Linked DNA regions of Caenorhabditis elegans. The protein of the gene in region 1 purifies or fractionates together with the protein of each later gene. This does not show direct contact. Each region holds a gene or a part of one and is shown in the gene's direction. Other genes may lie near its edges. The genes, in order: fkb-1 and F53B2.8.

Region 1 (7,664 bases):
AGCTAAATTTAAAACAAATTCATAATTAAAATCTGAAACATTGTGCATGTACTGTAACTTTTAAGCGTAGGCAAAACTTTATGAATATAATAATATTCTAAAAATTCCAGATTTGATTGTTGGTTTTTTATCAATTGGAGGAATGATAACTGCAATTGTGCTGGCTGCTACTAAACATCAAGGAGTATCAAATAAAGGTCACAAATACTATAAATTCCAAATAAAAAACATTTGAATTTCCAGATCAACATGGTTTAAATTGGTGGTCGACTGCCACATGGTTTCTTGTTATGCTTAAATGGACATGGCAAAACGCATTTATCGCCAGATATTATGGAAAGCTGCTGACGAAGTCAATTATTCACCCAGAGGAGCCAGATGATCCATCAACTTGGAAGTTTTAGAATGTTGATTTAGTTTTACATTTCGTGTGAAATAATTATGGGTATTATTAATGAAGTACATTTTTGTAATTGTTTTTGACTGATTTCTGTTGTGTACTATAAATGCTAATCTGTCAGGACTCGTTAGTTAGAGTGGAGATTCACAGAAGAAACTAAAACCTAATGAGACCCCAGAATACTGCCGGTATTCTGTCAGGACTCATTAGGTAGAGAGGAGATTCACAGAAGAAACTAAAACCTACTGAGACCCCAGAATACTGCCGGTATTCTGTCAGGACTCATTAGGTAGAGAGGAGACTCACAGAAGAAACTAAAACCTAATGAGACCCCAGAATACTGCCGGTATTCTGTCAGGACTCATTAGGTAGAGAGGAGATTCACAGAAGAAACTAAAACCTAATGAGACCCCAGAATACTGCCGGTATTCTGTCAGGACTCATTAGGTAGAGAGGAGATTCACAGAAGAAACTAAAACCTACTGAGACCCCAGAATACTGCCGGTATTCTGTCAGGACTCATTAGGTAGAGAGGAGACTCACAGAAGAAACTAAAACCTAATGAGACCCCAGAATACTGCCGATATTCTGTCAGGACTCATCAGGTAGAGAGGAGATTCACAGAAGAAACTAAAACCTACTGAGACCCCAGAATACTGCCGGTATTCTGTCAGGACTCATTAGGTAGAGTGGAGAGTTGGAAATGAAACTAAAACCTAATGAGACCCCAGAATACTGCCGGTATTCTGTCAGGACTCATTAGGTAGAGAGGAGATTCACAGAAGAAACTAAAACCTACTGAGACCCCAGAATACTGCCGATATTCTGTCAGGACTCATTAGTTAGAGTGGAGATTCACAGAAGAAACTAAAACCTACTGAGACCCCAGAATACTGCCGATATTCTGTCAGGACTCATTAGGTAGAGATGAGACTCACAGAAGAAACTAAAACCTAATGAGACCCCAGAATACTGTCGGTATTCTGTCAGGACTCATTAGGTAGAGTGGAGAGTTGGAAATGAAACTAAAACCTAATGAGACCCCAGAATACTGCCGGTATTCTGTCAGGACTCATTAGGTAGAGAGGAGATTCACAGAAGAAACTAAAACCTACTGAGACCCCAGAATACTGCCGGTATTCTGTCAGGACTCATTAGGTTTAGTGGAGAGTTGGAAATGAAACTAAAACCTAATGAGACCCCAGAATACTGCCGGTATTCTGTCAGGACTCATTAGGTAGAGTGGAGATTCACAGAAGAAACTAAAACCTAATGAGACCCCAGAATACTGCCGGTATTCTGTCAGGACTCATTAGGTAGAGAGGAGACTCACAGAAGAAACTAAAACCTAATGAGACCCCAGAATACTGCCGATATTCTGTCAGGACTCATCAGGTAGAGAGGAGATTCACAGAAGAAACTAAAACCTACTGAGACCCCAGAATACTGCCGGTATTCTGTCAGGACTCATTAGGTAGAGTGGAGAGTTGGAAATGAAACTAAAACCTAATGAGACCCCAGAATACTGCCGGTATTCTGTCAGGACTCATTAGGTAGAGAGGAGATTCACAGAAGAAACTAAAACCTACTGAGACCCCAGAATACTGCCGGTATTCTGTCAGGACTCATTAGTTAGAGTGGAGATTCACAGAAGAAACTAAAACCTAATGAGACCCCAGAATACTGCCGGTATTCTGTCAGGACTCATTAGGTAGAGAGGAGATTCACAGAAGAAACTAAAACCTAATGAGACCCCAGAATACTGCCGGTATTCTGTCAGGACTCATTAGGTAAAGAGGAGACTCACAGAAGAAACTAAAACCTAATGAGACCCCAGAATACTGCCGGTATTCTGCCAGGACTCATTAGGTAGAGAGGAGACTCACAGAAGAAACTAAAACCTAATGAGACCCCAGAATACTGCCGGTATTCTGTCAGGACTCATTAGGTAGAGAGGAGATTCACAGAAGAAACTAAAACCTAATGAGACCCCAGAATACTGCCGGTATTCTGTCAGGACTCATTAGTTAGAGTGGAGATTCACAGATGAAACTAAAACCTAATGAGACCCCAGAATACTGCCGGTATTCTGTCAGGACTCATTAGGTAGAGATGAGACTCACAGAAGAAACTAAAACCTAATGAGACCCCAGAATACTGCCGGTATTCTGTCAGGACTCATTAGGTAGAGAGGAGATTCGCAGAAGAAACTAAAACCTACTGAGACCCCAGAATACTGCCGGTATTCTGTCAGGACTCATTAGGTTTAGTGGAGAGTTGGAAATGAAACTAAAACCTAATGAGACCCCAGAATACTGCCGGTATTCTGTCAGGACTCATTAGGTAGAGTGGAGATTCACAGAAGAAACTAAAACCTAATGAGACCCCAGAATACTGCCGGTATTCTGTCAGGACTCATTAGGTAGAGAGGAGATTCACAGAAGAAACTAAAACCTACTGAGACCCCAGAATACTGCCGGTATTCTGTCAGGACTCATTAGTTAGAGTGGAGATTCACAGAAGAAACTAAAACCTAATGAGACCCCAGAATACTGCCGGTATTCTGTCAGGACTCATTAGGTAGAGAGGAGATTCACAGAAGAAACTAAAATCGTATAGAACCCGCGATGATCACATCTATCCCATGTGCACTAAATTTCCTCGTTTTTACTGGATTTTTGAATGTTTCAGTTGAAAACCAATCTGTTCCGTTTTTGGGAACGGAGTGGATTGATGCCGAGGCTTTGAGGCAGCCTTTGCGAGAGATTTGGCACTCATTTTGTCTGAAATTAATTATTTATAATAGAAAAACTGAATTATTTTGTAAAATTTGTAAAGAAAACGGTAAAAATCTGTTTAAAACTCGGGAAAACTCAAAAACTATGAACTATGAGTTAAAAATCCGACAAAAGTTGCGCCAACAACTTTTGCTGACCCATTACTCGTTTTCTCTGCGTCACAACGCCACGTTTGCTTGACTTTTGTTTGCACACCTTCGATTGCTCTTTTGCACTGATTTCTCTGTCCATTTTTCTATTCATAACGTATTTTTTCAATAATTTTTCGTTGTATTGTGCTTCTAAAAATCAATTGTATTGTTGTAGGATCATGAAAACCGCTGTTATCGTTGGACTTTTGTGCCTATTGGCGATCGCATATGCTGCCGATGAGCAGAAAATCGATAAATTGCAAATTGGAGTCAAGAAGCGTGCCGAGAACTGCGTTCAGAAATCCAGGTAAGCTTACTCTTTTTAATTAAAATAAAAATGTTAAATTTACAGAAAGGGTGATCAATTGCACATGCACTACACCGGAACCCTTCTCGATGGAACTGAATTTGATTCCAGCCGCACTCGCAATGAAGAATTCACTTTCACTCTTGGACAAGGAAATGTTAGTTTTTAAAGAAAAAACCAATATCAATAATTAAAATTGAAATTATAGGTGATCAAGGGATGGGATCAAGGACTTCTTAACATGTGCGTCGGAGAGCGTCGTATTCTCACAATTCCACCACACCTTGGATACGGAGAACGTGGAGCCCCACCAAAGATTCCAGGCAACTCTGTCCTCAAGTTCGACGTTGAGCTCATGAAGATTGACAGAGACGGAGAAGAATTGTAAACGAACTACGGATATTTAGAAAACGTGCCTTTTGTAACTTATTCATGTTCTCAGAGTATAATTTTTTTTTGCAGTTTTTTTTTTTGTCTTTATAAACATGCCCATTCTATATATTTGGACCGTCTGCGGCCATTGATCACAACCGCGTCTCGCTTCTCTTTATCACCTTGTATTGCACTCTGTCAGCGAAAATGATAGGGTGTGCGAGACATTTATCAATTTCCATACACCTTTTTCTCTTCTTACCTAGTAATGCCTTGCTTTCTTAGTTTTTAAGAATGATTATTTTAATCTGAAAATCTGGAATCAACAGTTTCGTAAATATTAGAATTCAAGTATGTGGTTCCTCTGTAAATAAAAAGCACGAATCGAAAAAGGAAATGCATTTTTGAAAATGTCGAACAATAAACAAAAAATTGGAATTCTATTAGTAGAAACCCAATTAAAACTGGCATCCATGAATTATTGCACCAACGATCCGAATGCTTCTTTTCTCTTTTTTTTTGTTCATGCTCCATCCTAACAATAGTTATAAATTGAGGTCGATTCTTGCTCTTCGTTGTCTTCTCTCAACACACGAGTAAATTGAGTATTCCTTGAGAGCCTCCTGTGAGAGTATTTGTGAGCCTTGTATTTCCTTTCTCTCACTGCTTTCTTCTTCAGTTTTGATGTATAAAAGTATGAATAATAAAACTGACATTTCGCACTGAAAATTCAACGTGGTTTCGGGAGTAATATTTGCATAATCCGTCTTCTTGAAACCAACGGAGCGTGATGGAAATTTGATAGGACTCGATATTTTCTCTAGAATTTTGAACTTGGTTTTTTGAATTCTCTATTTTTTTGAGATCTATGATAATCTAACGCTTTTTCTGTTTGCCTACGCTTTTCGTTTTTTTTGTGTTTCTATTGACAGGCTCCCATCCCATCATTTTTCGGTGTCTGCTACTGCGACCACCACTGACAGATGTGTCATTTTCTGCATTTTTTTTTCTGTTTTCCGAATATTGATTTCTATTCGATTTTTGAGGATTAAGAATAAATCATAAAATATTAAATTATTGGTAACTGCAATTGCGACCATTTTCGGAAATCGGTTTGAAACAAGCAAAAATAATTACCGAAGCTATATAATAAAAACCACTCATAAAACGAAGTTTCTCAAATATTTGTCGGAATTTTTCTTTTTAATTTGTAAAAAATTAAAGTTTCCAAAGAAATACCGCAGATTAAAGGCGCTGCCAATTAAATAATATTATTTTCTTTTTTCAGATTTGCAAATACAACAATGAAAGTCGCGTCGAGACCATTACAAAGTATTCTAGATGCGCCTTTAAAGTTACTGTAGGGACTTTTTGTTTTCTCTTTTCGATTTTTCTACGAATGCTTTGAAACTGTTTATTGTAGAATTTTAATGTATTTTAATCAGTTTTTGCTCTTAAATAGAGTAATTCCCAATAATTTTGTATCAAATTTTACCATTATCTACAGAAATTCGTCGGTTTTTCAATACATGCTGTCTATTATTCGTTTTCAACCCCATACAGTAATATTTTTCAGCTTTCAAACAAATAAAAAGAAAAACACAACAATTCTTCATCGATTTGCGAAGAAAAACTGCTGATCGAAATTAGTATTTATACTAAACAAGCGTCTGGAAAGTTTGTATATGACGAAGGACCACTGAAAGCAAGAGAAAATAGAGAAATCCAAGAAATATTGTGACGCGTTGTGGAGACCCAGGACGTTAGGGGAAAGAAGACGAGAAGAAGCAGCGAGGAGCCATGGTTCAAACACTGAGAAGACCGTGGCAAGAAGCGGCAAGCAGTGCTTTTGCCGTCGCCAGTGCTCTTCCGGTGACTATGAATAGTACACAAATTGCTGAGCTCTTCGAACAGGTTATATTTTATAATTATTAATAAATTTTAAGGAAACATTTTGAATCTCAATATGCTAATCTGAATTTAATACGATTAGAAATACTTTAATCGTCAAAAAAATCAATTTTCAAAAACCAAAATTGACAGAATGCTGTTTTATTTCGAAATTTAAGAATAAAGAAAAGTAATCACATCTTCCTAGAAATAAAACAAAGAAAATATCCTTTGAAGATCTTTGTTCAAAGAAAAACACTGAAAACATAAATTTTATTCATTTTTTTTTAACTTTGAAATGATTCCAGGTTGAGCATGGCACCACAGAACTCAGATGTGCACTCACCGCAGAAATATCAGCTCTCAGAAACGCTGTAAGTGCTCGAAATCGAATAAATTATTTCAAAAACAAATTTCAGAATGGAGAATCACTTCTCACAGTTGCCGTTCGATCAGGAAACACAGCAGTTGCCAAACAATTAGCACAATTGGATCCAGACGCAATTGATGAAACTGACAATGTAAGATTTCTGAAATAAAATATTTGAATACTCCAAAAAATTAATGAGCCATTTGATTTTTTTTCGAGTTGAGTTTAAAAAAAATCCTTATTCAAAAGCTGAATTCTTTTTTCAACTGAAAATTATTTCAGGAAGGTTGGAGTGCTCTTCTGAATGCAGCTCACTGTGGTCATGTTGACATTGTTCGATTATTAATTGATAATGGAGCATCTGTTGATCAACCTGATTTAATGGGATGGAGTCCTCTTATGTGGGCAGTTTATAAAAATCATTTAGATGTGGTTGATCTACTTGTTAACGCAAAAGTAAGTTATATATATATTTAATTAGAAAAACAACGATTTTTGTTACCGGCTCATGTAAATCTTATTGACGAAGAAGACGGACTCACACCGTTAATTGTAGCTTCTGGACGTGGATTTTCACAAATTGTAGAGCGATTAATTGATTCAGATTGTCAGGTTGGATTTTATTTGAAAAAAGGAAGTATTCGTATAAAAAAATTTCTAAATAGTCAGAGCTTCTCGTTTTCAATGTTTTTGCTATAAGAATTTATTCCAAAAATTTTTGTATCAAATTTTCAATATAATTCCAATTTATTTTTATTTATATTTTTAGGTAAATGCCTGTGACAAATTCGGAAGTACTGCATTAATTTGGGCAGCTCGAAAAGGACATCTTCCTGTTGTACAACTACTTTTAAATTCTGGAGCTGAGGTGGATGCAGTTGGAATGGTAATTTTTTTAGTTATTTTGAATCCTGAAACTAATTTCAATTACAGTACTCATCCACAGCTTTAATGTTGGCAACACGTGGAAACTTTATTCAAGTAGTTGAGCTTCTTCTGACACGAGAACCAAATGTTAATGTAGCTGATCAAAATGGTTTGACAGCTCTCGGAATGGCAGCTCGTGATGGATATGCTGATATATGTGAATCTCTTATTAATTCGGGTGCTTTTGTGAATCAGTGTGATAGGTATTTTTCTAATTAGTTTTTGACTTCAACATAAATGAAATTTGCAGATTTGGAAACTGGATTCTTACGTCAGCAGTTCGAAGTGGAAATGCGGCAATTGTTAGAATGATTCTCGACAAATTTGCTGATATCAATTGTCAAGACTCTGTAGGATTTAGAATTTAAGCATTGATAAAATAAATAAAAAAGTTCAGGAAAAACGGACACCACTTCATCTGGCCATCGATAAATCATTCAATGATATCGCCTACATTTTATTGGAGAAA
Region 2 (8,269 bases), 1.5 Mb from region 1:
AAATTTTCCTCGATTAATTGACAGCTTCACAGGAGATAGGTATCTATAGATGGAACCGAGAGGAACACACAATTTGGCGTATGTTATTTATGTATTAAGTTGGCATCGTTCTAGATACTTGTTGGTAGATCGAGGGAAAGTCACACTTGATCCCGGAGAATCGTGGGAAGAGAAGAAGAGAAATTTAAACTAAGAATAGGGAAGATTCACACTTGTTGTCTGCTAAGTGCTAAAACCTAGTGACCTAGGTTATGAACGGGCATTAGATTTGGAACATGTTGTGTAAAGTGGGAAAATTGAAAATTCACAAATTCTCTTTGCAGGGATTTCTGCTTACACTAACTATAAGAAAGTTCAAATATATTTTAATAAGAAGTGTATTAGATAATTAAATTTTAAAAAATTCACTCAAAATCACTGCAATTCTTCCACGCGATATTCCATTCGGATTTTCTCATACGTGCAAACAAACACGTGGAACTTCCAATGAAATCAATATAACTTTATTTCTGTTTTACACTCGCGGAGAATATGGTTAAATCTACAAAGAAAGCGAAGCAGGAAATGGTAAGAGTATATCAGAATCAGACGGCTGGCAAATCGGATGTTTCTCTTTTTTTATGCTGCAATGGTTTACCAAGAATGATTTTTTTGGCGGGGCAAAACCTGAATTTTTTGTAGTTGAGTTGCACTCGCGCTCCAACGCAAATTGAAAACCATAATTTGGTGGTCGTTATGTATGTTAAACTGTGATCTCGATTTCTTATTATGGATGGGACCGTTTTCATTTGACATTGGAGCACAATTGCACTTCCATCTCAAAATACACAGTGTTGGCTCGCTATAATGAAATTCAAAAAAATCTGATACGCAGAAAGGAAAGCCAAAAAAAAGCATAACGTCCGACTTGTTAGCCTCACTCGGACGGCAACTTTCTATCTATACTTCAATTTTTATACAGAATTCCCAACCTGAACAATCAGCAACATTTGACATTTCCTTTATCATCTCAATGCTCGAATCCTCATGCCGTATTCAACTGTCCACAGCTCTACACTTTTTTCGTAAAGCTTTTGCCAATCAGTCAGATTTATCGAACATCGCTCTGAAGGAGCAGTTTTATGGAAGAATTGTTAGTTCCGACGAAATTGTTTCAATTAATTCAAACTCTTTTTTTTAGAAGAATGGCGTTCTCAATGCTCTTCGTAATCAAACGTTAGACATTGACAGTGAGGTTAACGCTGTTTGGATTATCACTAATATGTGTTGTATTAGCCAGGAAGTTACTCACTTGTTTGTAAACTCGGTCAGTCTGAAAATTGATTTTTAGGAAAATTGTTTTTTTTTCAGAATTGTCTAGATATCTTGATCAAACTCGTTCGGTCTCAAAACGCTCGTCTCTCAAGTCAAACTGTTTGGGCAATTGCAAATATTGCAGCTGATTGTTCTTCGTGCAAATTGAAATGTAGATCACCTAAACTTTTGAAGGTAATTATAAGGGTTTGTAGGACATTTTAGAATCCATCCACAGCACAAATGAAAACAACTGTTACGGCTGCATTTAGGCGCTTTAGGCAGGCGCTTCAGGCAAGCGTCTGGCCTTTGAAAGCATGCCTGTCTACCATGTCTAAATAAATTCCAACTTCAGATACTCGCCAGAAACTTACAAACGTCGTATAAACTCGACGATGCAGACCGACGCCAACTCATTTGGTGTGTCAATAATATTTTTTCCGGTGGCCGAACAACGATGCCATCACCAGTAGCTCGTTCACTTATTTGTGCTTTGTCTGCAATTTTACTCGACACAGACGCTGTCGATAATATGGGATGTGGTTCAATGATTTTATGGACTCTTGCCAATTTGGTTGACAACTCACTAGATACCACACGGGTTTGTTTTCGGATTATTGTTAATCAAAGTTCTTTACTAAAACTTTCAGATCGACATGCTTCTTTCCCAAAACTACGTTGTTGAGCATATTCTCGAAAAATTTATTGATCAAACGGACAAGTCATGCAATGTTTCATGCCTCCGCCTTATTGGAAATATTGCAGTCGGGAATGATGTTCAGACTGATCTGTTGGTTGATAATCCCAAGTTTAGAGTTGTTATGGTACGTTTTTGACATCAAAATTGAAAATTAAAAATATTTTTTCAGAATATTGCAATGTCATCTCCGGAGCATCACAGTGAAGCCGCATGGATCATATCAAACGTTGTTGCCGGTGCTCCAAGACACGTGGATTACAGTTAGTTTTATATTTATTTGATTACTGAATAGGATCTATGTTTTCAGTAATGGATGATCCAGATGCTTTCTATGAATGGGTGATGGCTGGGATTCATACTGGAGACAAACGCTTGAGAAAGGTAAGCTGATATAAAATTATATGAACAGTATTTTATTTATTAGACATGCACCACCATTGTTTTACATTGACAGGGCATATATCTCGATTCACTTCCGTTTTATCAAAAAATTGTCAACTGAAGAAATACGTGCAAAATGTTTTTCTACGTTTTGATAGTGAAATTGTTTGATAACACTTGAGACAGTCAAGATATGAGCCGTCAAAGTGAATTAATGAGGGTGCAAGTACAATAGAGACAATACTGTAGTTAGCTTTGAACACATCTTTTGAAACAAAATTTATTTTCGAGCTTAGAAATTATCTATGGTTATTTCAGGAATGTCTGTGGATTATTGGAAATCTATTGGCAACTGCAGATGAGCATCAAACGTATCTTCTCGTCTCCTTAGGAATAGTACAGCATTTTCCAGCTCTTCTCGATTTTGATGATGTTCGTTTGAATGAAAAGGCGGCGACAACTGCAACTGAACTGCTCCGTGAGCATCCATGGCAGTACACATTGTTCCAACGTTTGGATATTTTGGGATGTATTGAGAGAGCTGGAGCAAACGTTAGTTGAATATCCTTAGACTTAACAATCCGTGTGTTTCAGTTTTCGATTCAAAAAGCCGAACTGAAATCTTTGATGAATGACTTGGCGCCACCTGAACGGAAAGATGAAGATATTGCCAAAGGATGTTCTGTGATTTGCTACAGCAAGCTCTCAGACGACTTTCACAGCATGAGCATTTGAATTTACTCGTTTGAAAATAAAAATACGAATTTTGATTGTGTAGGTTTAAAATATCAACCCATCAATCAGCAGAAAATGTTGTCTAATTACGTTTCTGTGATATTTAAAATTACTTGAACATTTCCAATACACCTGTTTTTATTTGTTCACTCGAATTCCAATCAGATTACTGACAGATTACTGGCTCTTCAACTGCGATTTTTCTACCGGTTTGTGTACTCTTTTTGGACAATTAGATGTTATGTGCACTTCCTGAACAGGTGCATAAACAATTGATGAGATGATGATGAATAGATGGATTAGGAATGGGGGAAAGAGGATTTTAAATGTTTTTGGAACATAGGGGGTAATTACCGGTAATTGATTTTTTCCAAATTTCTTCACTCCTAAAATATTTCAAGTTTTCAGGCAACAAAATGTGAGAAAAAGGATTTTTTTAAAGTTAAATATGATCAGTAAAGTGTCGGCTTCCATGATTTTTACAAATACACAATTATTATAACATCTCTTTTAGGTTTTTAGGTAGATTTGCATTAACTTTGCCAAAACTATTCGACTCTTCCAACTACAAAAATGTTTTCCAGTTTGAATTCAAATACCCGTCGTCCTTTTCTATTTGCCAATTTCCGGCGGCAATGTGATGGGATAGTGATATGACAATCTGTTACTCATTCCTTTTGGCGGTTTTTGTAAGGAACAAAAGCACTTTTTCTAGATTTGAATTTGAGTTGGGGAGATGTTGAACGACGACGATGAGCTGTTAGATGTTTTAAATCTTGAATTGTATAGTAATTCATAAGATTAAAAATCAGAAAACTTAAAAACTTAAATTTGAATATAAATATACCATAACTTTATGTCATCGATAAAAATTGGTCACACAGTAAAAACCGAGGGTTGCTGTACCTGGCAGTAGTCTGAAAAAATCAAATGTTAATGAAAATTTCGAATATTAAAAAATTTAAAACATTGCCTAAGTTAAAATTTTCGAAATGCTGAAATGCTTTGGGTGTAATATTTGTTAAGCATATTTCTAGTGAATTTTGTAGTTAAAAATTTCAACACTTTGATTTCGCAATCCCGTCACCCATCTTTTCCCTCTGGGTCTCACGATTTCCCCATACTTTCCAATAATCTTTCCTGTCAACATTCCCATTTCACATGACATTTTCAATTTTAATACTACCTTACTCATAGTCAACATCACTATTTCAGAATTCCACACTTATAAACATTATTGATGATAAAAACTCTTTGATAAGAAATTGATACAAAAACCCTCCTCAGTGCCTGCAATTTCAGTGGTTACTTGTACTGCTAAAATCAATTGCTTTGAACTGAAAATGCCAATGGGCAAGAAGTTGTGTAAGTTTTTAAAGTCGAGAAAAATTTGAAAATGCTCAAATTTACAGTGGGAAAGCTTAAGAGAAATAAGGTGGAGGAGCCACAGGTGGAGCCGGAGGAGGATTTGGGAGATGCTATGAGTACGCAAGGTTAGTAAGGAATTACATTTGACTTTTAGTGTTGAGCGTCGATTGTAGTGTTCGGAAAATTTTAGTTCACTGAACGGTATAGCAAATACGCAAATTTGACGCGAAAACTTTATAAACAACAGATTTGACGAGCAAATTATCGTAATAAATCTATGTGATAAGTCTAGTTTACGTTTGGCAGATTATATTACATACTCGAATGAGATTCGCAAATTTCAGAAAAAGATGACGTGAAAGTTGGGAAGAAAAGAGCCCCGAAGAATAACATGGGTGGAAAGAAACGACTGAGATCCAAGCTGGGAAATGTTGGGAAACACCAGAAAAGGGTACGCTCCAAGGAAAACACTCCGGAAAGAAAGCTGGAAAAATTGGAGAAACTCGAACTTCAACTGACCTTAAAACGAAGTCGAGAGGAGCAGAAACGAGCCAAAAAAGATAAGAAACTGGAGAGAAAAGCACTGAAGATTCAAAAAAAGTTGGAAGCTTTGAGAAGCATCAAGGAAAAACCACATCAAGGCTCTGAAGCACAAGGGCCAAAAGTCCCCAGAGCCAGAAAGATCCGGGTACCAGCCCCAAGACCACCCCGTCTTCCATATTTGGCTCTAGTCGCCAATCTTCATAAGGCTCCGAAAGCATTGCGTGATATGAGAGCTGCTGCTTCACGCCGTTAGTGTGGGCTTTGGATCATTTGGAAGAAAAAAAAATTGTTAAGTGGAAAATTAATAAGAAGAATATGAATCTGGATGTCAAATTTAATTTGTGGACGTTTTGAATTTTTCACTTTGAAGTTTTTATTTGTTAATAAAAAATGTTTGATTCAAAATTTACAAATTTCAAATCAGCATACCAAAATCTTCGAAATGTAATCATGATTCATGAGAGGTCTCGCCATGAAAACTAATGGTTATGGTAGATTTTTTCAATCTTATTCGAAATTTCAATTTGAAACTTGATCTTCAAAGTGAGACCACATTTCCCACTAACGTTTTTTATCTGCTCACTATCAGATCAAATTTAAGATTCAGAAAACTTGCTAGCTACAGTAACCGACACGTTTTGTAGTGAGACCCGATCTGCTTCGTAAAAATTCACATCTGCCTTGTAAGGAGACCTACACCTGATTCCTGCCTACAAAACGTGCCTATAGACTTGCAAAATTATTTCCGATCCTTTAATTGTTTGCAAAAATTCAGATGCCTAGGCAGTAGGCAAGCTTGTAGGCAGGCAAGAATACAGTAGGAGGAAACGTGCTTGCCTACTGGAATTTGGGAAATTTCTTCATAATCCGGTAAATTAAATTTTAAGGAGAATTCAGACTGTTCCCACAGCAATTTAAATCCACTTCCCTTTCCAAATTTCTGTGTCTCACTCCACTTTTGTTATAATTTTACGAATTTTTATTGCTTCCCCTTTTCCTAATTTACAGTATTCCTTGTTATCGAAAATATGTATGAATTCTGAGAAAAATTGGTCAAAAAATATAAAAAGACAAAAAACAATTAGCAGCCCCAGACCATCTCGACAATTTCCCCCATTCATTCTTACTTCCTCCCCACCATCATGGGACAATGCCTTGCCGTTCATCGCCGAATCATGGCGTCACAGGAGTTTCCGAATATTCCTCAGCCGGAGTCGCAGTGTCATGATGCATTTATCCGGTATTCCCCAGGAAGATACGAACGTCGGGCTGCACGATCCCAAGTCGACTATTATCTACTCCCACAGGCACCGCGGTTGATGACTGAGGATTTGGATAAGAAAGAGTTTCAGCGACTCTATGATGCTCGTTGTGAGCTCGTTGAGGTGAGATCTTTCACAATTTAATTTTGAAAAAAACCTTCAATAATTTCAGTGTCCAGCCGGAAGGCGTGCAATGCAACTGGATGTTCAGATCTATGCGGATCGTTATGAGGCGACGCTCAACAAGATTTTGGAGACTTCTCAAGAGCTTGACAAAGGCCTTGAAGACATTTTCCAGGCCTACACAAAAGATGATCCACTGGCTGATAAGGTTATGGTGAGTGGTATTTCGGAAGGGATTAAGGGAAATCAGACGGGTTGCGTAACTGTCAAAATCATTCATTCTGGCGCGCCAAAGTCATGCCCAACTATTGCCCAAGTTTAGCCAACTTCTAATCCAAGTTAATATTTTTTGGGTCAAACTTGGACAAGAAGCTAGAGCCAGATCCCGGGAATGTATCAATATGATCAAATTCCTTAACCTCTATTTTACATGAAAAATTTAATTATATTTAGAACTGCCGCTTGACCGTCGACGAAATGGGACGAGTGTACGAGCACTTCTTCCGCGAATCGGCATGGAACCTTGACAGCTTCGTGGAGTACCGGAAGAATCTGGCACGAGATGCCTACTTGCTGCTTGCGGATCTGAAAATCGCAATCCAACGTCTCGGCATGCACTTCAATCCGAACTTTGAAGACGCGCAAGTCAAGGTGGACTTCCAGATTATGCAGGCCGAGCAGATCATCTTTCACTTCAAAAGGACATACAGGGACGCACTGAAGCACAACCCTGACTCGATTACAGAGTTTGTGGAGGACGAGCTGGAAGATCCTGGAACACCGTTGTAATTTTTATTGTCATTCTTTTTCTGCCGTTTTCTTATCCTTCCCCATTAGTTACTGTAGTTCAGTCTTTTTTGAATTTCAATAAAACTACAACAAAATCAACATTTTTCAGTAATACATAATATTCTTTAATTTTGCAATGTATGTCTAGACAGCCAAGAGTTAGAAGAATTATAGAAAAGGAAGCAATTGTAAAGAAAAAAATACTTTTCGAACTTCGGTTTTCATATTATGTATAATCATGGGACGAATAAAAAGACAGAAAAAAATAATTTAAAAACAATATTTTAATAATTTTGATACAGTGGCCAAGAGGTTTCGTGGTAGGATCCTAGGCAAGAAATGGGTCCTGAGTAGATGTGAAACTTTTAAATTTATAAGCCTTAGATTTGGAAATTTAGATTTGTTTTCAAAATGAAAACATCCGATTTAAGATTAAAATTGAGTGAAACTTGTTGAGAGATTTAAATTATGTCACCATATATTCCAATTGAACAGAATTTTGTGGTTGCTGACCAAGTCTGATGATGAGCCAAAGTATATGGCTAAAAAAAGTAAAAACTACTTGTTCTTCCTGATGCGTCGGTATTGATATTTGACTGTAATCACAAAAACCTTAAACTTCGAAAAATCGAGTACATTTTTCAGCACATGTGTCGTGCGGTGATCTCAACTCATAATTACGCCCAACTTCGAATCCCTGAATTATACCTCATGTGATGCCACATTTTCTCAATTGCTCGTCATGTCTAGCAAAGTGTGTCTGAATTTTATTTCATAACAAATTATAGCAAAAACGTGTAGTTTTGCTGTTTCGCACACTTGATGCTGTTACCATAAATCTGAATCAGTTTTTGAGAGCAGATTTTCAAACGGTTTCAAGTTTTTCAATTTTTTTTGGAAACTCACATCTTAAACCTTGAGTATTTCTTACAAAAACATTTTCCTAATTTTTAAAAACTTTTCATGACGCATGAATGAATGCAAATAACGGAATTTCCAACTTTTACAAAATTTAATTTTAAATTTGAGAAGATTATTGTGGTTATTTTAAAAAAAACATCAACCTTAGCTTTCC

Evidence for each region.
Region 2: the proteins of fkb-1 (region 1) and F53B2.8 fractionate together in Caenorhabditis elegans (co-fractionation; one large-scale study listed by BioGRID). This does not show direct contact.

The regions. Positions count from the first base shown.
Region 1 is NC_003282.8:11,033,078-11,040,741, forward strand, and holds fkb-1 (peptidylprolyl isomerase), read left to right. Parts: upstream 1-3,504; 5' UTR 3,505-3,508; coding exon 3,509-3,636; intron 3,637-3,681; coding exon 3,682-3,793; intron 3,794-3,844; coding exon 3,845-4,024; 3' UTR 4,025-4,097; downstream 4,098-7,664. Other genes in the region: Heme transporter hrg-6, read left to right, coding at 111-197, 244-404; kdin-1 (KAP NTPase domain-containing protein), read left to right, coding at 5,809-5,922, 6,207-6,272, 6,318-6,419, 6,551-6,724, 6,773-6,880, 7,038-7,154, 7,202-7,398, 7,446-7,545 and 1 more.
Region 2 is NC_003282.8:12,523,403-12,531,671, reverse strand, and holds F53B2.8 (Coiled-coil domain-containing protein 86), read left to right. Parts: upstream 1-4,275; 5' UTR 4,276-4,452; coding exon 4,453-4,474; intron 4,475-4,521; coding exon 4,522-4,602; intron 4,603-4,821; coding exon 4,822-5,273; 3' UTR 5,274-5,441; downstream 5,442-8,269. Other genes in the region: F53B2.5 (Importin subunit alpha), read left to right, coding at 532-567, 962-1,132, 1,181-1,306, 1,351-1,488, 1,649-1,894, 1,944-2,117, 2,163-2,253, 2,301-2,374 and 2 more; Protein eak-4, read left to right, coding at 6,163-6,405, 6,455-6,619, 6,859-7,194.